Saccharomyces cerevisiae S288C: one gene and its partners. The protein of the gene in region 3 interacts with the protein of the main gene of each other region in a biochemical or structural test. Each region holds a gene or a part of one and is shown on either strand. Other genes may lie near its edges.

Region 1 (6,243 bases), on a different chromosome or scaffold from region 3:
CGACCTCAATGGCAAGGCTGTTGCAGATGTTTGGTCCGACTTGGAGGCTGAGTTCAAGCAACAGGCTATCTCTAAAAAGATAAAAGTCAAATATTTGATAAGTCCAGATGTACACCCAGCACAGAACCAAAATATACAGGAAAACAAGGAAACTGTTGAACCAGTAGTCCAAGACAGTGAGCCAAAGGAAGTGCCTGCTGTGGTAAACGAAAAGGAGGTCCCTGCTGAACCGGAAACTCAACCTCCCGTCCAAGTAAAGAAAGAAGAGGTCCCACCTGTCGTTCAGAAAACCGTTCCTCATGAAAATGAGAAGCAAACGTCCAACAGCACTCCGGCCCCACAGAACCAGATAAAGGAAGCCGCAACCGTACCTGCAGAAAATGAATCATCCAGCATGGGTATATTCATATTGGTTGCACTCCTTATCTTGGTTTTAGGATGGTTCTACAGATAATAGGGAGATTGAGGATATAGCTGTATTCTAAATATATATTTATATATGTGTGTGTTTTGCCCTTTCCTTCCTTTCAGTCTTTATTTTACTTTGTTTTTCTACAATCTTTTTTTATTGTTTCCTTCTGTAGCCTTTACAATACTAGAACAAGGAACTAAAAGATCATACTTTCCTAACTTTTTTATATGTTTTATTTTTTAAATAGGAGAATAATCGATAACTATACCACTGTTGTAACATATTACTTGTTTAATTTATTCATGTTCGGTTTCCCTAGTGTAGTAGGCGCTATCTTGGGCAAATAACTATCCGTTATTAACCATAACAATGCGGGGTCTACTAAATGAGGGGAGGGTCTTGGATGCACATTAACGAAGATCTTGCGAGGGGGTCGCGCCTAAAAGGTCCATAAATAAATGAATACATAAACAGCCACCTACTTTCAGTTTGTTTTTTGCTAGGTCTCATAGTGAACGAGGGACTCACATATTGACAATATAGTAACATGGGCTTATCGCGCTGGCACGACAAGAATTCAAGGCCAGCAGAGGAAAAGAGCGAAGAAATGCAACAGGATGCGCACTACTACGCCCTTGCGGCAAGTGATAGTTTAAATGCAAGTGTTTCTAACGAATATGGTAATCAAGTAATGAACTCGTTTTGGAAAGTGGGTATAGACTCTCCCTATGTGGACGATGAAGCAATTAGAAACAGAGATGTCGAAAATAACTTACCTTCTTTAAAGCAAAGTGTTTATAATGCTAATGAACCAAATGCTACCTCGTCTGCATTTTCAACCGCTTCATACGCACATGAAACTTTCGATTTTAGAAACCTTAAACTAAGATAAGGGGGGATGAAGAATAAGAATAAACGCACGTACAATGCATATACAACCGTTTCTATGTACCATAAATATAATTATCATATAATGAAAAATGAGAATAAAAAACAATGATAACAATGAAAAAAAAAAAATTCAATTAAAGAGAAAATTAAACTTATTTTCTTAAGTAGTCCCTTAAATAACTACCGAGTTTTTCAGCACCCTGTTCTACAACGTCTCTCAACATCTGCAATTCATCATCTGCGGAGGCATTAAAATCGATGAAACCGTTATTAGAATTACGGCCATCAAAATTCCCTGCTCCACTTCCACTACTATTGATGGGATTACCAAATTCATCCACTTCTTTATCTTCTCCAAAGTATGAAGAAGAGGAAATTGATGTAGCATTGTCAAATGTTTTCAACTTGTCATGCGCTTCCCTGTTTGCTGCTTCATCAAATGAGCCACGACCAAATAATTGATCAGATGATATAGCTTTTTGTGTGCCGTACCTTTCCGCGATTCTGCCCGTATATCTTGGTCCCTGAGCTATTTTCTGAGATTCTTTTTGTTGCTTTGCCAAATCATTGGCGTCATTCATGGTCATACCAAATCCCAATTTGGCAAACTTGGGTGTTAAAGTATCTTGCTGTTCTTTTCTAGTTGTGTCGAAGCTGTTTGAAGTGTCATTTAAAAAATCATTGAATTCATCAGGCTGGGTATTAATATCATCTATACTGTTATTATTGTTGCCTTTACTGTTATTCATAAATTGGGAATCGTAATCATTTTGTCTAATTTTGGTGCTAGAAGACGAATTAGTGAACTCGTCCTCCTTTTCTTGTTGAGCCTCTTTTTTAAATTGATCAAACAAGTCTTCTGCCTGTGATTTGTCGACTTTCTTTGCGGTTAGTCTAGTGGGCTTTCTTGACGAAGACAAAATTGAATGTTTCTTTTTATCTTGCGAGTTTAATACCGGTTTCTTTCTGCTAGCCGTTAAGATGGAACTTCTCGTTTTAGTGACAGTGGTCTTGGGTGTGCTGCCTGTGGTGTTGTTTTTTGGGGCGAGAGAGCCTGTATTTACATTGAGTTTAGAACTGGAATTGGAGCTTGGTTTTTGCCAATTAGAGAAAAAATCGTCAACACTATTTTCTTTGGAAGTCGACCTGGAAGCGTCTGAATCGGTGTCCAACGGTGAGTCCGAAGAATCTTGACCGTTCAAGACTAATTCTGATGGGTATAACTCCATATCCTTTTGAACCTTCTTGTCGAGATGTATCTTATATTTCTTAGCAACAGGGCTCGTATATTTTGTTTTCGCGTCAACATTTGCTGTATTTAGTAGCTGTTTCCCATTGTTCTTTAAGAAAAAATCACGAGCCTTATGGTTCCCACCCAACTTAAACCTTCTTAAATTGTTAATTGTCCATTTATCTAATGTAGAAGACTTTACAAAGGTGATATGAACACCCATGTTTCTATGCACAGCAGAGCATTGAATACACAGCATCACACCAAAAGGTACCGAAGTCCAAGTAGGATTCTTGTTACCACAATCAAAACAAACTCGATTTTCCATGTTGCTACCTAGCTTCTGAAAAACTTGTTGAGTAGTCTGTTCCGTGGCAAATGTTTCTCCTTCATCGTTACTCATTGTCGCTATGTGTATACTAAATTGCTCAAGAAGACCGGATCAACAAGTACTTAACAAATACCCTTTCTTTGCTATCGCCTTGATCTCCTTTTATAAAATGCCAGCTAAATCGTGTTTACGAAGAATAGTTGTTTTCTTTTTTTTTTTTTTTTTTCGAAACTTTACCGTGTCGTCGAAAATGACCAAACGATGTTACTTTTCCTTTTGTGTCATAGATAATACCAATATTGAAAGTAAAATTTTAAACATTCTATAGGTGAATTGAAAAGGGCAGCTTAGAGAGTAACAGGGGAACAGCATTCGTAACATCTAGGTACTGGTATTATTTGCTGTTTTTTAAAAAAGAAGGAAATCCGTTTTGCAAGAATTGTCTGCTATTTAAGGGTATACGTGCTACGGTCCACTAATCAAAAGTGGTATCTCATTCTGAAGAAAAAGTGTAAAAGGACGATAAGGAAAGATGTCCCAACGATCTTCACAACACATTGTAGGTATTCATTATGCTGTAGGACCTAAGATTGGCGAAGGGTCTTTCGGAGTAATATTTGAGGGAGAGAACATTCTTCATTCTTGTCAAGCGCAGACCGGTAGCAAGAGGGACTCTAGTATAATAATGGCGAACGAGCCAGTCGCAATTAAATTCGAACCGCGACATTCGGACGCACCCCAGTTGCGTGACGAATTTAGAGCCTATAGGATATTGAATGGCTGCGTTGGAATTCCCCATGCTTATTATTTTGGTCAAGAAGGTATGCACAACATCTTGATTATCGATTTACTAGGGCCATCATTGGAAGATCTCTTTGAGTGGTGTGGTAGAAAATTTTCAGTGAAAACAACCTGTATGGTTGCCAAGCAAATGATTGATAGAGTTAGAGCAATTCATGATCACGACTTAATCTATCGCGATATTAAACCCGATAACTTTTTAATTTCTCAATATCAAAGAATTTCACCTGAAGGAAAAGTCATTAAATCATGTGCCTCCTCTTCTAATAATGATCCCAATTTAATATACATGGTTGACTTTGGTATGGCAAAACAATATAGAGATCCAAGAACGAAACAACATATACCATACCGTGAACGAAAATCATTGAGCGGTACCGCCAGATATATGTCTATTAATACTCATTTTGGAAGAGAACAGTCACGTAGGGATGATTTAGAATCGCTAGGTCACGTTTTTTTTTATTTCTTGAGGGGATCCTTGCCATGGCAAGGTTTGAAAGCACCAAACAACAAACTGAAGTATGAAAAGATTGGTATGACTAAACAGAAATTGAATCCTGATGATCTTTTATTGAATAATGCTATTCCTTATCAGTTTGCCACATATTTAAAATATGCACGTTCCTTGAAGTTCGACGAAGATCCGGATTATGACTATTTAATCTCGTTAATGGATGACGCTTTGAGATTAAACGACTTAAAGGATGATGGACACTATGACTGGATGGATTTGAATGGTGGTAAAGGCTGGAATATCAAGATTAATAGAAGAGCTAACTTGCATGGTTACGGAAATCCAAATCCAAGAGTCAATGGCAATACTGCAAGAAACAATGTGAATACGAATTCAAAGACACGAAATACAACGCCAGTTGCGACACCTAAGCAACAAGCTCAAAACAGTTATAACAAGGACAATTCGAAATCCAGAATTTCTTCGAACCCGCAGAGCTTTACTAAACAACAACACGTCTTGAAAAAAATCGAACCCAATAGTAAATATATTCCTGAAACACATTCAAATCTTCAACGGCCAATTAAAAGTCAAAGTCAAACGTACGACTCCATCAGTCATACACAAAATTCACCATTTGTACCATATTCAAGTTCTAAAGCTAACCCTAAAAGAAGTAATAATGAGCACAACTTACCAAACCACTACACAAACCTTGCAAATAAGAATATCAATTATCAAAGTCAACGAAATTACGAACAAGAAAATGATGCTTATTCTGATGACGAGAATGATACATTTTGTTCTAAAATATACAAATATTGTTGTTGCTGTTTTTGTTGCTGTTGATAAAGCGATTTTTATACTTTTCTCTTTTTCCTTTTTTTTTTTGATTGGCTGTTTCCTTATGCCGCTCTTTCCCAATTTATGACTTTCCAATAATGTATTATTTTGTTTCTCTTTCTCTCTGTTACCCTTTATTTTATCATCTACAATAATTGAATTCCGGAGAGGGTAAAGAAACAGGAAAAAGAAGAAAATGAGACATAGTCAGCATCGTAATCGTTTTCCTTCTGTATATTCCTTTATCAAAAGACTACACGCACATATATATTAATCCCGGTATGTTTTTGGTGTGCTAAATCTATCTTCAAGCACTATTATAGCATTTTTTTAAGAATATCCAAAATAATATGTAATTTATGATTAATCAAGGTTCAAGAATTGGAGAAACCGTGAGCGACTTCTTTGATACTTGGATGTAAGCTTTTATTTAGTTGCTTTTTCGTTTTCTTTTATTTACGCCCTTGTTTTGCGTGTATACTTTACTTTTCTAATTCACTTGAGAGCGGGACTATATATAAAAAAATGCACAATTACAAACTTGAGAATGAATGCATATCGTGAAGATTTTGATATTAAATTAAGAAGCCAAAAAAACGTAGGCAACCATAACAAATTTCGGCATTGAACTTGATTCTAAATGCTACATACAATTACGCGCGCTGTTTTGATATACACACACATATATATATATATACATTGTGTAAGAAAAATTCAAAGCTTAGTAAAACATACAGATCATGGAGAAAAAAAAAAAACCGAATACTTGTGTTACCAGAAGGATCCACTGACTGGACTTGGGTCACAATTTGAATTTTATTGATTTTCACCTTCATCAAGGAGGATGGTCGTTAGTAATAAAGGGCATTCTGAGTGACAGACAAAGAAATTATCTTCAAAGAAATGTTACTTTGATTCATTGATATGTTATTTGTTTTTATTTGAAAGCACTCAAGGAAACTAGACAACAGTAGTATCAATAGTAGATCCACTTAAATGCACATCATTTACAGAATACATCCTCTTTGTGAAGACGATATCCTCTTGGTCATCATTCAATCTACCTTCGCTAACAGTATTTGCTGAAGAACAATCCCAATTACCAGAATTTGAGAACATATCATCAGATGTTTCTGTCATACTATGGTCACTCTCATTGGATAATGATAACATAGAAGAATCAGATATTCCACTCTTCCCAGTACCATTACCATCGATTATTTTACCGGTATCGACATTGAATTGAACTTGACAAATTTGATGTAATCCCAGTTCAC
Region 2 (6,155 bases), on a different chromosome or scaffold from region 3:
CTTTTTTCATCCTCCCACTTCCCCCTTATATATTTGTTTTCCCATGTGTGGTATATGGCATCATTATTATATAAATATTCTTTAGTTGTAAAAGGCTGTTTTAATTAACACTATTTATCGCTAGACAAAACTAGACTTTCATTATTTCCTTCATTTCAACGCTTGTTTAAACATGTGCTAGGTAAGCGAGTTTTTTACTTTTACTTCCAATAAATATATATATATATATACGTATACATGTATGGGCGGGCTACAACAAAATGAAATAAAAAGCGTCAGGATCATTGTTTTTTACCATACTTGACTTCTCTGAAAAAATCCATGACGTTCGTGAAAACTACCAACAATAACCCACCACCGGGGGCAAGTCTCATGACCTTTGGCGCAAATCCCTTATACAATGCTTTAAACCCTTCCTCACGGTAAACTAACAGCACTGAAGGCAGGGACCAGTTGTACTTCCTCAGCGGCCCGGAACTTCTTTGGATCCTAGATTTTACCACGTCAAATGGTGTATTCAACAAGCACCCGACAGTGCCACCAATAGCACCTGCGATCAAATCATTTCTGGTCTTTTCCGTGCTTGTTTTAGCCGCCGGCAAAAGCTTCCGAATTTGGAATATTATACCGAAATAACCGGCATTCCAAAGAACGTGTCTCCAGATAGTGGCTTCCAACCCATTGAAAAGTGACAAAACACCACCTTTCACAACACTATTCTTTACAACTTCAATGGGTGTCTTGAACTGTGAATTCACATCCTGTAATCTAATCTTCACTAGTTCAAAAGGCGCGACGACAAAGGCTTCCACGGCGCCAGCGGACGCACCACTGTATATGGCGATTTTTTGAGTCATCTCCCCATTGGGCGTGGGGAAAATCTTTTTATAAAACGTTTGGAATGTATCGTTTCCGGAGAACTTAATTGCTCTTTTCGGAGCCTCCATTAATATAGGCGATGTGATACCCTTGTAAAGATGCGAAAATCCTTCCTTCTTCACAATTTTTGTAAGACAATCCATCACGCCCGTGTAGTGATCTACTGCTGCTTTCGCTGCAACAACAGCGGGATGACCTTTGGTTGTCACTTGTAATTGCATTCTTGTCTTCACCACGTCCAATGGATACATCACCAATAGCTCCGAGACGCCGGCAATGGCACCGGCTGTGAACTGGTATATGAACGGCAAAGGTCTATTATCTATAGATGTCATCTTACAGTTCTTTTTCTTTCACCCTCGTTACAGTTCTATCTTGAGAATAAATGAGATAAAGGTTCCCAAAAGTCACTGATATATATCAACGGCGGTCACCCTCACAGAAATACCCGAGAATCTGCCCTTCGCCAAATCAGATTCAGCCAGTTCGCAGTTTTTTTCCCTATCTCTGGTCGCCGCATTATGAAAAGATCCTGGGGTAATAATGGGAATGATTTGAAAAAAAACAAATGCTGGTAGAAAAAGGTCTTCGTATTGCTCGTAGTAATACGGCTATTTCAAGTAACTGCTCGGGCCAGCGGCTTGAGGAAAAAGTAAACCCGTTACTTTGCTTTTTAATGACGCTGGAAATACCAATTACCTACTATGTATTACTTATGCTTATGACAAAGGGATGAAATTCCCGACGATGCAAATTGGGATGTTGTACCTATCCCTTCTGATAGTGAAACTAAAACAGCATGGCCGTTTGCGGATTCCATCTTTGGTTCGAAGACTACAACTTGTTAAAACAGCCTTCTGACCCTTATCAAACGCTATGGACCCGTATTTTTCCCAGAAATTCACAGCGCTTTCTTCTGTCATCAACTCGTAGATCGCAAGCTTTCCATCGCGTAAATCATCGACTGTGCAGTCAACCAGTGAAGCAAACTCTTTATTGGCTCTGTAAATCTCACCGGTACGCCTACACAAGCACGCTGGCATGCTCATAGAGGTGAAAACACGATCATAAGATAATAACATCCTCTCGAAGCTCTCCTCCACTAAAACTAAGTCAACATCCTTCAATGAACGCGCAATGGTTCTAAACGCCGGTCTAATGGTGGATAGTGGTTTCAGAATCCTTTGCTTGGAAGACTGATTCATATATTTGTCCATGTAGTCTTGTAGTCTTGCATACCCCTTGGCATAATTATACGGCTTCAATAATCCTGCTTCAAGCTTCGCATTTATGACCAACTTCAGCCGGTGTTCTGGTGTCATCTCTGTTGACGGATCCGCCGCTGTTAAAAAGAATTGTTCCTTCGGTGTCGGTGCACTGTTTTCGTTTGCATTCGCTAGAATTCGAGACTCTTCCTTTTCTTGATCTTGTTTATCCCCTTTCGAGATACTATTGGAAGAACCTGACATAATAGTAGGCGACCTATTTTCTTGTCTTGCCACTCCTATTTCATCCCTACGATTGTCGTTTTGGTACTCTAATGGCGATTGTGTGGTTTGTGAGCCATTTTCCAAATGAACATTGCTCGCACTGCTGGAACTTAGTGATGTTTGAGTCAATAGAGGATTTTCTAGCATAGAAAGAAATTCATTCAAAGAACTGAATTCCGAACCAACATTCTCGGACACAAATACAGGTTGTTGCGGAAGCAGCAAGCTGGTTGTATCATTTACAAGAGAGGAGTCTAGTTTCGGTGACAGTTCCTCTCCATATGTGGATCCACTTTTATTGACTGGTTCATTCTGATAGTCAGACGGAATTCCAGTGTGTGCTTTATTTGCATATTTGCCCTGTATATTATTATCATTCGGAGAACTTTCGTGCTGTGATGGCATCTCATTTGGAACCGCAATATCATCTTCCCTGCATAAATGGGCAATATCCCTCTTGACGCACCTAGAACATGGACGTTGCTTATCACATACAACATGTGACCGTTTACAAAATAAACATGTTTTAAAAGCCTTACTGGCTCGTTTTACACCACTGTTTGCTGACATTATTTCGTCAGTTTATATAAATATGTGTATTTTGTGTTGATTAAAATTAAAAAAAACTTTATCTCACTGGCAAAGAACTCCCGCAAATTTTCTCATAAGAATTACTTTCTTCTTCCATCCCAGAGACCTCATCCTTTTTTCTAATATTCAACTATTTTTCATTTTCCTTCGTACTCTTTGTTTTGCTTTTTCTTGTTTTCTGCCATTCCAAAACATTATTCTCCCCATCTAAGGAGCGGATCTGTAGGAAAAACAGCGTAACCATTGGAAAACCCTTTCCCTAACCAATGCCCTTTGACGGATGAAACATGATATATCTTTTAAGGACATAGATACTAACCAATACAAATCAAAGAACAGTGAAGAGTCTAAAGGGGCAGCGAACGCTTAAGTATCTTCTTTAAAGTAATAATATTCCTGTCGCAGGTGAAATAGCACTTCAGCGCACAAACAAATAATATTGCAGCCAAAATTCCCTAATATTGTCATGATAAGAATATGTCCCATTGTTAGATCTAAGGTTCCACTGTTAGGAACTTTTCTTAGATCCGACTCATGGTTGGCACCTCATGCGCTAGCTCTAAGGCGGGCCATATGCAAAAACGTTGCATTGAGAAGTTATTCAGTGAACAGCGAACAACCAAAACATACATTTGATATTTCAAAACTTACTAGAAATGAAATCCAGCAATTGCGAGAGTTGAAAAGAGCAAGGGAGAGAAAATTTAAAGATCGTACGGTTGCATTTTATTTCAGCAGCGTCGCGGTACTTTTCTTGGGTTTGGCATATGCAGCGGTACCACTCTATAGAGCCATTTGTGCTCGTACTGGTTTTGGTGGGATTCCCATAACAGATAGAAGAAAATTTACCGACGATAAACTCATTCCTGTAGATACTGAGAAGAGAATTCGTATCTCATTCACCAGTGAAGTATCACAAATTTTACCGTGGAAATTCGTTCCTCAACAACGTGAGGTTTACGTTCTGCCTGGTGAAACAGCCCTCGCTTTTTATAAAGCCAAGAATTACAGCGATAAAGATATTATTGGTATGGCTACTTATAGCATAGCGCCTGGTGAAGCAGCTCAATACTTTAATAAAATCCAATGTTTTTGCTTTGAAGAACAAAAGCTAGCTGCCGGTGAAGAAATAGATATGCCTGTCTTCTTTTTTATCGATCCAGATTTTGCTAGCGATCCAGCGATGCGAAATATCGATGATATTATTTTACATTACACATTCTTCAGAGCTCATTATGGTGATGGTACAGCTGTAAGTGACTCTAAAAAGGAGCCTGAGATGAATGCAGATGAAAAAGCAGCGTCATTGGCTAATGCTGCTATTTTATCCCCAGAAGTTATAGACACAAGGAAAGACAACTCAAATTAATTGTAAATACAAAGTCATTCAATGTACATAAATACTGTTATGCTTTTGAATTAAGTAAAACACCATGACTTCATATTGAGATGTTTTAAGCATATAATCACGGCACCGAACTTCTTGTAATCATCAAATCTTTGTTTTCTAGCCGTCATAGAAATGAAGAAATGAAGATTCTTGTTCATGTGATACAGCTTTTCTAGACAGCTAACTTGTACATCCAGACATCCTAAAACACCCATAAAGCAAAAAAAATTATTGAAATATTCTCTTTTTTTTCTTTTTTTTTTTTCTGGTGGCTTTCAATGCGGAATCGCTCACATCCGAAAATTTCAGAGGCTTCACTTAGCGTCGCAGATCCCAGTAGTCGCCAGATGCTTTGAAAAAAAAAAAAATAAATAGAAAAGTTTGTAGACATATCCGATGTAGTATATTTCAGAGGCCAACCTTTACTTTTGTTTTCTCCTACACTTCAAAATAAAAGACACCGTCACAAATCTCAGCAACAATGGCTTTCCAAAAAGACGCTAAGTCCTCTGCTTACTCCTCTCGTTTCCAAACTCCTTTCAGAAGAAGAAGAGAAGGTAAGACTGATTACTACCAAAGAAAGAGATTGGTCACCCAACACAAGGCCAAGTACAACACTCCAAAGTACAGATTGGTTGTTAGATTCACTAACAAGGATATCATCTGTCAAATCATCTCTTCTACCATCACTGGTGATGTCGTCTTAGCTGCTGCCTACTCCCACGAATTGCCAAGATACGGTATTACCCACGGTTTGACCAACTGGGCTGCTGCTTACGCTACTGGTTTGTTGATCGCCAGAAGAACCTTGCAAAAGTTGGGTTTGGACGAAACTTACAAGGGTGTTGAAGAAGTTGAAGGTGAATACGAATTGACCGAAGCTGTTGAAGATGGTCCACGTCCATTCAAGGTCTTCTTGGATATTGGTTTGCAAAGAACCACCACTGGTGCCAGAGTTTTCGGTGCTCTAAAGGGTGCTTCTGACGGTGGTTTGTACGTTCCTCACTCCGAAAACAGATTCCCAGGTTGGGACTTCGAAACCGAAGAAATTGACCCAGAATTATTGAGATCTTACATCTTTGGTGGCCACGTTTCCCAATACATGGAAGAATTAGCTGACGATGATGAAGAAAGATTCTCTGAATTATTCAAGGGTTACCTAGCTGACGACATTGATGCTGACTCTTTGGAAGACATCTACACTTCTGCTCACGAAGCTATCAGAGCTGACCCAGCTTTCAAGCCAACTGAAAAGAAATTCACCAAGGAACAATACGCTGCTGAATCCAAGAAGTACAGACAAACCAAATTGTCCAAGGAAGAAAGAGCTGCTCGTGTTGCTGCCAAGATCGCTGCTTTGGCTGGTCAACAATAAATTATGGATATATAACGTCATTTTGAGATATTTTAAATAAAGCTATCTTCACATAACCTTTGTATTCATTTTTAGTTAACTCATTTACATCATCCACTTACTACATTTGTATTTTTTTTACGATTTGCGTACCGCCTCATTACTACCCTTTTTTTGCACTGCAGTAATAGTACACTCAAATCATGATGAAAAGAGAAAAGAAAAAAATGCCACAAAAAGTAGTTGATTTTATAAAAGTTATCATCCAATTTTAGGTAATTTTATTCTCTTTATGTAACGAACATATGAAGATTTCTTCTCTAGAATGGCATTCTAACTAAGTCCGTGCCATAAAATCATCACTAACAAATATAAGATCACGCTATACTATCAATGAAGAAACAAATATTAATAGTTGCTGCACAAAGTATTTTATGTTCTACTGTTTTTG
Region 3 (6,544 bases):
CCTGTTGTATGTATACGCTCTAATGTCCGATATCATCATACGTGCATCACTTTGTAGCCTTCTAGGATGGCGTCTAGGTGAATACCGCCGTAGTGTTTAGGAAACTAATGTTATGGGTGGTTGTTGTTTCACTATCCAGTAATACTTTTGTGGTGAACTTAAGAAGCTTAGGGGTTACCCCTTCTTCTTGAACTAATTTTAAGAAATAACAACGAGGAATAGTGTGTATTTTTAATTACTGATCAGGCCGCATGAATATACTCACCTGTATACGTAGCAAAATTTCAGTCTCCTACTGTATATACGTCTAGATGGACTCGGTGACAAATTTTTTCTGGAATGACACCTATAATGCTGGTACTCCAACTAGATCAACTCTCAAGGGGAAGAAAGTGCAAAATGGCATAGATGGAAAAAGTCAGGCAAAGAAAGAGAGCATATCTAGTGGTTCTAGAACTAGTGATCCTACACGTGGTAGTCTGCCATCTTCCAGTGGACAGCCAACTAGTGGTGGCGGTTTTCCCTCGACATCAAACATCCAAAAGATGATGGCAGATACCCTGGTAGAGAAGATAATCAAAATGGCATTACCACCATCTTCCAAAACGGCTGTTGATACAATTCACCATCGTATGGTTGCTGGTAAAGAAAGGCCTAAGCTGTCTGTGCAGATCACGAGTAGGAATTTTATACAGATGAACTCGAGACTAGGGGTACCATTCATGATTATGGATGAATTAATAAAGATATTAAACTGGACTAACCCAGCGTATACAGTATCTATCATGTTCTTATACACGCTCATTATATTGAAACCTTTTCAAATGCTTTCTTCGCTCCCTATATTCTATTTGTTATTCTGCGTAATGGTCCCGCAATACCTTTACATTCATAAGCCAAACCCTACAAGCTATCTAGATAATAATCAAACACCAGCACAAGGCCCACCTTTGCGAAGACCTGAGGTTCCTAAACCAGTCCCTGAACTGAGCCAAGAATTTGTCTTAAACCTCACGGATTTACAAAACCATATGCTGCTATATGTTAAATTCTACGATTTTACTTTACTCATATTACAAAAGTTTGCATTCTTCACCAACGAGGCTATTTCGTCGTTTTATTTTATTGTATTGTTAATAATAGCAACATTAAATTTTCTGTACATGGATAAATTTATCAAGCTCATTCCAATGAGACCCGTACTGATACTGCTAGGTTGGGGTTTTTTTATTGCCTCGCATCCGTCCAATCGTGAATATTTGTTGACTAAATTGAATTCGGAGGAGACAAGATTAAAAACTTTGACTATAAGTACTAATCTGGAATCTAAGATTTTGCAGCATTTGAAACTCATTGAGGCTAGGGAGCACCGACTTGTTATGATCTTTGAGATCCAAAAGTATCTTCCTGAATACAAAGAATGGCGCCCAGTTGGATTCTCTGATGACGATTATTCTCTTTTCTCTAGTTTGAGAATATACCAGAGGCGTATTGAGGAAAATTCAGTGAAGTCATTAGAAGAAATTGAGCCACCTAAGGATTGGGAATGGGAAGCCAATTCTCATTGGGTGCTTGATTTGGATCCAAAAGAATGGGTAGAGGACGAATTTATTCAGTATGTCGAGATAGATTCAGAAACAAAATGGGTCTATGACCTCAATCTTGATGGACAAAGGGGCTCATATAGAAGGCGAATGTGGACCAACAGTTGCGTGCGGAAAAAACTGGATTCTGGTATTTCTTCAAACCTTGGTGAGGAGGAAGTAGTTAATCCATTGAGGGAAGAAACATATAGGCAAGGCGTACATGGCGTGACGAAGGGTTCAATGAGTGGCGGTCTAACTCACAGTAGTGATGATGACCGCGCTGATGAGGAAAGTATAAACGGTACTATTCCTAATCTCAACAATATCGACGCGGATGCATCTTATCCGTCAATCGAAGAGCTAACAGACACTCTCAATTCAACTATATAAACTTGATTTGTTATACTATATGTTCACTGATGATACAGTCAACTTTTCATAAAACTTTCTAATGACAGTGACGAACTTTTCTTCTTTTCCATTTTTTTCTCTTGATTTCTTTTCGATAAAAGGTTTGTAAGTGAGTTCAACTTTCTCTTCTTGGATCTCTCCTTACCAGTACTAGTTTTACTCTTTTGGGGCTTCTTTACCGCGTACGAAACCTTCCCGCTGCTGGTACTATTGATCATCGGACTAACATCTTGTCCAAATGTTGGAACAACGAACTCAGATTTCCACTCAAACAATTTAGACTTTTCACAATTCAAGCAATTAACCTGGATACATTTTTTTGGTCCTTCCATACTCTCGCCGCCAAGTTCGTCGGAGTCACCTTGCTCGGTATTAGTCGTTAACTGAAGACTTGCGTTAAAATTAGGAACGTAAACACACCCGCAATGGGAGCAAAATTTCCCACTTTTCAGTTGTTCTGGCAGCATGATTTGATATCGCTTCACAGAATTATGAAAATTTTTATAGTATAGTCCCGATAACGCTCTGGAATTCAGTGTTGGCAGTACATGTAGTAGGTTGTATTTTTGTCGCAGACTCCGTTCTTGATATTTTTCTGCCTGGTCTTTATTCATTTTTGGGATCCTTTTGTTGTACGATTGTCAAAGGTTCAGTATTTTTATTGTAGCCACTAGTAGTACTCATCTCTATTTTCACATAGAATAGCGTTTTCAATTTTTCTCATAGAGCGTGAAATTTGCTTTTCATCCGAAGAAATAATGCCAATAAAAGAACATTCACATCAATAAATTATGTTCAGGTTTATTTAATCAAGATTGTTTACTTTATACAAAGGGATATTATAAAGATGTTGCAAATACGTTACGATACATAAAAAAAAGGGAACTTCCATATCATTCTTTTACGTTCCACCATCAATTGCTTTGACTGTTAACGGCTAATTCCATAATTAGTTTTGTTGTTAAATGTAAAAATGGGTAGGCTGAAAAAGTACTCATTTCATCTTCAGAAATATTAGAAACAGTAGTATCATCTCCATAACTACTTTCCCAGCCGTCAAATTTGAAATCCACCAAATAATTATTGGTTTCAATTTGAAATAATTGAATTACCATTTTCATTAAATCAGGTATTTTTTCATTAGTGTTTGTCTTGTTTCCAATATCATATTTCCACCTTAATTTGATAGTCCATAAATCCTCTTCAGATGGCTTGGCCCATTCGGCACCCAAATTCTTCAAGGCAATATAAATTTCACCCATAACGTCTAATGGATATGAGCGAGATCGTATACCAAAATGCCATCTCGTTTTAGATTTTTTCGTTACAAGAGGAGATATTTTAGAGGCAGCTGGCGAACCTTGTGCTAACATATTAGCTCTGTGGATCTGAGGTAAAGATGTAGGCAAAATGGAAACTGTAGAGTCTTCTTCTTTATACTGATCCATGAAGGGTGATTGGTGATATGTCCTTTGTTGAGTGATAGCACTTGCCATCCTTCTTGCGTGTTGCTTGGCAGTTTCATGATCTACTTGACTCTTTTGATGGGATTTGCTTTGTTGTTGAAAAGTTGGAGGTGACTGGGACAGAAAGGTATCCAGTTCATCACTGACGCTTTTGTTTGCCTTCATATCCTTGATCAAAGATTTATTCTCCTTAATCAACATGTACGCGTCCCTAATTTCGTTGAATGCAGGAGTGTCTTCTGATGATTCTAAGGACTCATAAATCTCGTCTTTTTCGTAACCCATGGTCGATGATAAAATATTGACAAGGTTGTCATCAATTTCATCGTTATCTGGGCTGCTGCCATCCTTTTTTGAGTCATTATTTTCATTCTCTTCTTCTGGGTGTGGTTTCAAATCTGGTGGAAGTAGATATTCTGGCAGGTCAACTTTGAACCAATCGTCTTGCATAATTTCATGAATGCTTATTCTGTTCAATGGATTAACGATTAACATTCTTTTGATTAGCCCAGCAGCTCCAGGAGATAAAAATTTAGGCAAGGTGTAAACACCGTTGCTGATATTCTTGAAAAGCACTGGGATGCTTTCATCGTCAAACGGTAGACGACGACAAAGCATAACATAAAGGATAACCCCACATGACCACACGTCCACTTCTGGGCCTGCGTACAGCTTACCGCTGATAACTTCAGGAGCCGCATAATTGGGAGAACCACAAGAAGTCTTTAAGAAATTACCATCAGTCATGATGTTTGACAAACCAAAATCGGCAATCTTTACATTCAGATGCTCATCTAGTAGTAAGTTTTCAGGCTTCAGATCTCTATGGACAATTTTGTGCCTATGGCAGTACTCGACGGCACTGATGATCTGCTGGAAAAATCTTCTTGCCTCTTGCTCGCTCATTTTGTCTCTCTGAACAATATAGTCAAACAATTCGTTCCCGGCGTACTCTATAACCATAATGATTTCATCTTTGGATTTGATAACATCATACAGTTTGATGATGTGGGGGTGTCTTAAGAGTCTCAGATAAGATATTTCTCTTTCAATTCTGCCCTGCATATCACTCTTTGCCAAAACCTTCTTATTAATGATTTTTAGAGCAACTTTTTGGCCCGTAGTGGTATGATATGCCAATTTAACTTTACCAAAGGACCCCTCTCCCAGCGTTTTGACGATTTGGTAGTTCCCGATATGTGCACCATCCGCTAAGGACGACTTGGGATTGTTTAGCGTCGAGTTGCTTCCGCCATGACCGTGATGGTGGTGGTGATGGTGGTGATGGTGGTGGTGGTGGCTAGAATTTGCATTGGCAGGTGCTGTGTTTGTGTTGTTGTTACTGCTCATGTTGACTTTATTAAGGGAGTGTAGCAAAACTTGTTACAAAAAAAAACTTCTATTTCTTTCGCTATGATTATTGAAACAGCCTCTATATATTATCAAAAGCCAATGACACTGAAACAATTTCTATTGTCGTGCTTTTTTTTTTTTTTTCAGGCTTCAATCTATTGTTTATCGTTATACTTCCTGAATGACTGTTTGGACACGAATGCGCAGTAAGAGGAAATGTGAAAAAAGAATATTTCGATAAATGAAAGTTCTGGTAACAAGCCTACAGTACTAAGCCCAAAGCTATGTCTTGGCCCCTATAACGCTACCTGTTGATGTGCCATACTCTTACCAACTTTCTTTTACGTTAAAAATTTCCATCCCCTTCCGCTACGAGAAAAACTGCAGAGGGTAACTATGACATGTACTTTCTAATATGGGCCTATAAGGACTATATACATATGACTAACATTGAGTAAAACCAGGTCTCGAGTCCCATCATCACGCCCATCCTTTTGCATCCACGCCGCCACGCAATTCCTCTTTTTTTGAAGTTACTTGCGTCATGTGGGACATCATATGGGACATCATAGCCTGCAAGATCGAGAGTTAAATATACGACTAAAAGAAATAGTAGCACACTGCCATTTCCAGCTTTTAGTCCCTTGGGGAAGGTTCAGCATTTGATAGCAAATGATTGTACAGTTTATAACCGTATCTAAACGTACGGACATGTTTTTTCCTAGGGCCTCTATTAAAAAAATCTTTGAAATTTCCCTTCAATGCCACCCTTTTTTGCCAGGCATTGGTGGCCATGATTTGTTATGGCTTCCAAGAAAAGGTTTTACTACAGACGCCTTTACTACAGAAGATGCCTCTTCCTATCGTGATTTGCCCTCCAGACAAAAGCCGCGGACATAACGATGGCGGATTGCATTAGACAATGATTGCTATACGGAGGCGAAAGAGATAGCTAGCGACTTCTTAAAGGCGACATTGCTCCGCTACAAACGTGGTGGAGTTTTAACCCTACGAATTCAGTTACAAGGTTGAAGTTAGTGAGCAGCTTCTGTTCTGCCGTTTCTTGCGCAGTCTTGAACTTTCTTGGTCTTGCCATGTGGTCGGGATATTCTGTTCGTTTATAATTACTCCTTGCCACAAAGTGCACACCTATTTGGATATGGTATATATAAAGAGTGGAGGCTTATATCGGCGAGAGCGTGCGTTCTATCAACTCAAGCAAGTATACGGGTATACACAAGTATGTGGGATTCGTTAATTGTAAGCATCAACGATACGCACAAGTTGGGGCTGGAGGATTGTCTCGCCGTTTTTGGCCACGTTCCCATTACCAAGGCCGTCAAGCATGTCAGACTGACAGAGATCGACACGCAGACGTCCACGTTTACGCTCAAGTTCCTTCACACAGAAACGGGTCAGAACATCGAGAAGATTATCTACTTCATTGACAATGACACGGGCAACGATACCCGCACTGCTACCGGAATCAAGCAAATCTTCAACAAGATGTTCCGCATCGCTGCGGAGAAGAGGAAGCTGTCGCTCATCCAGATCGACACTGTTGAGTACCCCTGCACTCTAGTAGACTTGTTGATCCTGGTAGGCGTGGCGCTACCGCCATTGTGCTACCTCTATCGTCCTGCACTGCACGCTATCTTTTTCCTGGTCCCTAATCCTGTGGGCTCCACCTTAGAGGCGTGGCTGGATAGTGATCTTGTGCTGCGACTC
Region 4 (5,927 bases), on a different chromosome or scaffold from region 3:
TTATCTCGTTCCATTATTTACTTCATTATTATTGGCCCAACAATTAAAAGACCGAGGCCAAGAACGAGATGAAGGACATAAAGAGAAAGAGGAAAATATAAATCTCATCGGGTCTTCCTCAGTCAAGAAATTATTTTCTCAACTAATTTTTTTTAGCTCTTTGAAATTGTGTGAAAATTTGGTCATAAAGGAAAAAAATTTAGCACTATATCATTTGATCAAATTCGCGACAAAGGTTTCTCTGGATGATTTGATTTTACAAAAAATATCCATAAACTTATTGAATCATTTGTTCTTCCATCAAATTAGGGATGGAAGTGATGATGATAATTTAATTAAAAAGTTATGTTTAAAAAATCAACTTTCTTTCCAAGCTTTGAAAGATTACATCACATTGTGGAATGACGGTTCTGAAGTTTATAATGCATTTTATAAGGAGCTTTTCTATGAAGAGCAACCAAAGATTAAGCCAATAAAACTAACAACATCTGACTTGCTGAAATTATTCCCTGAGGATGTTCAATTTGTGATATCCACTCCACCAAATACAATAACTTCAGCATCAACAAGCGATAATTGTACATCATCACAATCAGCTGCGCAGAAAAATATTGAAAACTTTACTACGTTATCGAAGTACGATGTCTACTCGTCCACATCTTTCATACCGTCCACGTCGAAAAACACTAACACTAACGTTAGTAAGCAGCAGCAGCAGCCTCAAAACTCTACTCCATGTTCTTCCAACAGGTTTTTGTTCAACAAAAGCAGCCTAATTTCTCAGGAAAGTAATGGTAGCAACAATAACAGCGGCACACAAGGACCTGGTTCCATGAATGAGAGTTATTCTCTTGACAATTCATTCAACACAACCAATACCAATATGACGAGACAACCAACCACCTTAACTAGAGCAACCGATGCTATGACTACGGCACCTACGACACCAATTCCATACAAGAACACTAGTGGAAGCAGCAATAACAATCTATGGATTGAATCGCCCATGACAAATTTCAAGGGTTCCACCATCAGTAAAAGTACTAATAAGAGCAAAATGGTTAATACTGGTAAAAATTATATTTTAGGGGGCCACAATAAAGTTAAAAACAACAGTAGAGCTCAATCAATACATATAGATGACTTTGAAAATGAGAACAATTAATTATCTCTGCGGAAGACTAAGACAATCAAAATATGTATTCTTACTATCATAATTAAATATTTTTATCGTTATTAATTATTATTATTATTACTATTATTATTATTATTATTATTATTATTATTATTATTTATTATTTATTAATTATTAATTGTTAATATTATTAATTCTTGTCTATTGTCTTTTGATTTATCTGCACCGCCAAAAACTTGTCAGCGTATCAGTCCATGTGTGGGAAGGGCAACGGTAAACTTCTTATGGGTGGTAATGTTTCCAGTTCTTGAACTTGTGAATCCGACTGAGAAATGGGGGTTTGTTGGGTGGATATAGCAGTATTAATCATATTCACCCTTGGTGACAATAATAACGGGGTTGTACTTAACGAACTACTGGAAGCCATCATTTGATTTTGATTTTGATTTTGACTTTGGTTTGACGTATTTTGTGATTGCAGTAGGGTATGTTGCTCTTGCTGCTGTTGTTGAACGTTCAGTAATCTGTTGTTCAACTCCTTTTGGAAATCAGGAGATGATGAGGAGAAATGCAAGTGATTTTGGTTCATTACATACCCCAAAGTGTGCAAATTCGTACCACTAGTGGATCTACTTAGCATTGTCGTGGGCGTGGAAGTCTTAGATTTCTTTCTTGATTGCTCTTGCAAATAGTCTTGCTCAAGGTTATCGATACTAGAGTTAGACGGGTCCTTTAGTCCGTCTTCTTCATCCTCACCACCAGTAGTAAAATCAGAGTCAGATTCGTTGGTATTTCTTTGGCCAACCAACAAGTCGTTCAAACTTAAAACTGAACTTGGTCTCTTCAACTGTACGGAACTCTGAGTTTGTGCTCTGAGACTTCCATTGTTGTTTGGATTTGCATTGTTCAATCCTTGAAAATCCGTTAAAGATCGCGGCCTTGGTAATATAACAGTGTTGGAATAACGTGGTGAAAGAGAATTTTGTTGTTGTTGTAGTTGTTTCTGTTCAGGACCGTCTATGAAAACAGTCCTTGGCGCACTGCTAGCAATGGGCGTCATCATTTGTAGGGACGATAACGCGTTCAGTTTCAGTCTACTGCCACTATGGCTATTGCTCAACGAAGACAAAGCAGTGGAAGCGGATGAAGTTTGGTAGTTCATATTATTCAGTGCTAAAGAAGGTGGAGGCTTCACCGAGACGGGAATCTTAGCCATCGTTTTGGGAGAAGAAACCATATATGGGTCATTCCCACCACTTTCGCCGATTTCGAATTTGGTTTTTCTACCTTTTCTTGTAGAAGATCGACTTGAATTTTCTTTCGGAGCAATAGCAATAGGAATTAAAGGCGATAGGTGTTGCTGTGGTAATGGCGGTGAAAAATTTGCCGTATTTAAATCTGGTATACTGGTAGCACTAGAACTAGCACTATTTATTGGAGAGCCCACAACCTTCTTCTTTCTGCCTCTTTTACCTCGAGGGTGGGAGTTTGTATGAATTCTTCTGTGTCTCGTCAGTTCATCGCTTCTACTGAACCTTTTCACACATCCGGGGAAGTCACACGCGTGAGGCTTCTCACCTGTATGAATTCTCATGTGTCTCGTCTGATGTTCCAGTCTGTGAAAAGCTCTATGACAGATAGGACAAGCATGTGGTCTTGGCGCCTCTGACTTCGCAGCTACTTTGGACTTGCTTTTACTCTCCTTCAATAGTGACCCATCATCAACGTTAGACACTTGTGTCATTGGATATGGGCTTTGCATGGCTATGGTAGTATGTCGTCTCCACTATACTCAACTCTCGTGTAGTTACAAGCGAGCTAGAATAAATGGCTCTCTTATCTTCGAAATGCTTTACCGGGCTTTCTTACTCTCCTTTGTCTTCGTTAATGAGTACTGGGGTGAAAAAAAAGGGTTATAATAAATAAATTATCCAAGAACGACTATTCTCTTTTCTTTTTTCTGCTTGCTCTTCCCCACTTTTCTCGTCCAGCCTGTTGTAAAAATTTGTTGTTGCTTCTTTCGTATTAGTTTTTCCGAAAGAAAGCGCCGCAGGGCCTTTACCATCACTCCAGGTTTTCCCGGAGTGGGGTGGCAGTCCGCAGTCTCTCGCGAAATCAAAGGCAACAAGCAGACACGTGGAGAAAAGCCAGGAGAACTCAAGAGCTCGAACAAGTATGCTAGCAACTAAACAAGCCGGCCTACGCCACTCTGGAGTTTCTCGCGGGGCCCGGCCGCTACAGGTTTCCTGAGAAGCCATTATAATGGCAACTACATTCATCAACACTCCATAAAATCCTATCGAGTTACACTGCTAGTGTCGCAATTGCGCTTTTCTGCTGCTTAATTGTGGGCCCCAAGCTCTTATCACTTGCTACCATCCTATAAACTGTATGGAATGCCATCACAACTTTCGGAAAAATAAAGCGCTTTTTTACGCTATCAGTGGAGATATTACGAATTAGGCACAGGGAAGAAATAGATAAAAAATTCATGGGGCCAACCCCAGACGTCAATCTTCTACACGTCAAGTTTTGAAAAAAATTAAATAAAAAATAAAAAAAAAAACCGGCGCGAAGGAAACGTGCTGGCTCGCTAACTTCTAGTCTTACTGTACTGACTACCTTCCAGTCCTACTGGTTATACTGCATTGTACGGCAACTTACACACCCCACGCACTTACTTTCCTCCACAATGCCATCTAGAAAAATCGATTACCCGCTAATTTTCCGGGAAAAAGTCGATTAATGTAGGTTAGTGGCAGCTATGCTAAGCAATGATAAAGGAACCATACACGATATTTCTACAGAAGGCTATTAAATAGGGTGAAATAGGATGAAGCAACAATCAAAAATTATGAAAGCATCCGTTTTCTCGCTATTCTAATAATGGGACAGAACTGCCAATTCTTGATCTGGTGATCCATACGATTAAAATAGGGGTTCATCGCATGGAAAGTCTGTAAATCACACTTGCCTACCATAAGGAAGTCATCAATTCCCGAATTTTAAACGGGTTTCTATGAGTATTTGGAGGATGTTCATTCTTGGTAACATTACTGATGACATTCAGTGATACACTGCCTTCAAGGAAACACACGCGATAGAGGCAAAACAATGTTGCAACGGCAATTAATTTCTGTCATTGTAATGAATTTCTGCTCGTTGCTTCTAACCATATCTTGTGTAACGCTTGCGTTGATATGCAAAAATAACGAGATGGAATTTGCTGCCCTCTTTCAGCCATATGATGGCGGCAAAAACTTTGAAATTTGTGCACAGGATATAATAAGCTACTTCTTGACTCTAACGCCGTACTACAGTTTACAAAAAATGTATACAAACTCTTAGGATTGGTCAAGAAAAGTAAATGTTGTACTGCTCCAAAGATATTGCGATGCCGTGATAATTCAAAAGGGTCGACCCAGTCTATTTCACTCGCGCGATAATCGTTCGTTATCCGAAGCTGGCCAATTGATACAATTAATTGACATCAGCAGACAGCAAATGCACTTGATATACGCAGCTTAAAGCAAGGGTAAATTATCTGAAAAAGGATTGAATACAATCAAAACCTTCACATACATTGGTAGTAATATCGAGCATCGCTATTAGCAGAGTATCTCGAAGTCTACCACGGCGAAAGTTGATTTTTTATCTGAGGTGCTGATCTTCGGACGCAATGCGCAAACGTAATTCCGTAGTTTTCCCAATTATTTTATTTTTTAAATTACACGTACCAGGTAGATCACATACATATACCCAACACCTGTTATATAGTGAATTGAATTATTCGGAACATCAATAATCCTTTGCTTATAATTCTTGTTATCATCCATCTTGCATCTTTATTTAATTATATTTTGCACAATAAGCTATCTATGTGAGCTGCGTACGGTGACTCCAAACAATCTGTTAATTTCCATATAAATAACTTGTAGTCGGATCGTACAATGGCTCTATATAGGTTTGGACCGGTATGTAACCTAATATGGCTGACTCAAAACCTGCTAGATAGTTATCCAAGTGAATTTGAGTCTCGTATCCTTTATCACATTTTTACAATAGTGGCTAGCTATCTTTTTCATGTTAGGCTCACCCGGTATTCTCATGCAAGATCAAACAAAAAATGGTAAAGTTTTGGACTTTACATTGCTTACAGTTGCTTTTTTATGAAGATTCAAAAGATTATGTCCTCGGCGGCTAAATTTTCCATTAATAATATTATCCTTTTACGCGACCGAAAAAGAGAAGCGTTTTAAGAGTTGTTTCTAACAAATATTAATAATAAAGCTAACGTGAACTGACCAGGCTCTATTTGAAAGATATGGCACCGAAAAAGAAATCAAACGATAGAGCCATTCAGGCAAAAGGCTCAGAAGGTTAAGTATTTTTTTACATGCTCATCAAATACCGCCATTACTAACAATTGTACCCCGGGTATTTTATCAGCTGAACAATTAATAGAAGATTACTTGGTGTCACAATATAAACCATTTTCTGTAAATGATATAGTTCAGAATTTGCACAATAAAGTGACAAAAACAACAGCAACCAAAGCATTAGAAAATCTCGTTAACGAGAAACGCATAGTGTCTAAAACCTTCGGAAAGATTATAATTTACTCTTGTAATGAACAAGATACAGCATTACCAAGCAATATTGATCCTTCTCAGTTTGATTTTGAAACTGTATTGCAACTGAGAAATGATTTAATAGAACTAGAGAGAGATAAATCAACGGCCAAAGACGCTCTTGACTCTGTAACTAAAGAACCTGAAAATGAAGATCTCCT

The links.
Region 1: of the proteins of SNF1 (region 3) and GLO3, one has a biochemical effect on the other in vitro, tested with the Saccharomyces cerevisiae proteins (2 studies listed by BioGRID).
Region 2: of the proteins of SNF1 (region 3) and RDS2, one has a biochemical effect on the other in vitro, tested with the Saccharomyces cerevisiae proteins (3 studies listed by BioGRID, with this or other methods).
Region 4: of the proteins of SNF1 (region 3) and MIG1, one has a biochemical effect on the other in vitro, tested with the Saccharomyces cerevisiae proteins (12 studies listed by BioGRID).

The regions. Positions count from the first base shown.
Region 1 is NC_001137.3:401,416-407,658, forward strand, and holds GLO3 (ADP-ribosylation factor GTPase-activating protein), read right to left. Parts: upstream 2,938-6,243; coding exon 1,456-2,937; downstream 1-1,455. Other genes in the region: phosphatidylinositol-binding protein SCS2, read left to right, coding at 1-454; YER121W (uncharacterized protein), read left to right, coding at 960-1,304; casein kinase YCK3, read left to right, coding at 3,398-4,972; DSE1 (Dse1p), read right to left, coding at 5,927-6,243. UniProt on the Saccharomyces cerevisiae protein: GTPase-activating protein for the ADP ribosylation factor (ARF) family. Involved in retrograde vesicular transport from the Golgi to the endoplasmic reticulum.
Region 2 is NC_001148.4:298,290-304,444, forward strand, and holds RDS2 (gluconeogenesis transcription factor RDS2), read right to left. Parts: upstream 2,940-6,155; coding exon 1,599-2,939; downstream 1-1,598. Other genes in the region: ODC1 (mitochondrial 2-oxodicarboxylate carrier), read right to left, coding at 282-1,214; COX11 (Cox11p), read left to right, coding at 3,427-4,329; 60S ribosomal protein uL18 RPL5, read left to right, coding at 4,832-5,725; SPO19 (Spo19p), read left to right, coding at 6,098-6,155. UniProt on the Saccharomyces cerevisiae protein: Transcription factor which regulates the expression of genes for gluconeogenesis, the TCA cycle, and glucose metabolism. Involved in the cell wall remodeling process and drug resistance.
Region 3 is NC_001136.10:1,410,642-1,417,185, reverse strand, and holds SNF1 (AMP-activated serine/threonine-protein kinase catalytic subunit SNF1), read right to left. Parts: upstream 4,814-6,544; coding exon 2,912-4,813; downstream 1-2,911. Other genes in the region: PEX29 (Pex29p), read left to right, coding at 312-1,976; SNM1 (Snm1p), read right to left, coding at 2,015-2,611; YDR476C (uncharacterized protein), read left to right, coding at 6,059-6,544. UniProt on the Saccharomyces cerevisiae protein: Serine/threonine protein kinase essential for release from glucose repression.
Region 4 is NC_001139.9:430,166-436,092, forward strand, and holds MIG1 (transcription factor MIG1), read right to left. Parts: upstream 2,898-5,927; coding exon 1,383-2,897; downstream 1-1,382. Other genes in the region: VIR1 (Vir1p), read left to right, coding at 1-1,165; YGL034C (uncharacterized protein), read right to left, coding at 3,049-3,414; HOP2 (Hop2p), read left to right, coding at 5,460-5,514, 5,585-5,927. UniProt on the Saccharomyces cerevisiae protein: Involved in glucose repression of the SUC, GAL and MAL genes as well as of the CAT8 gene. Binds to two sites in the upstream region of SUC2.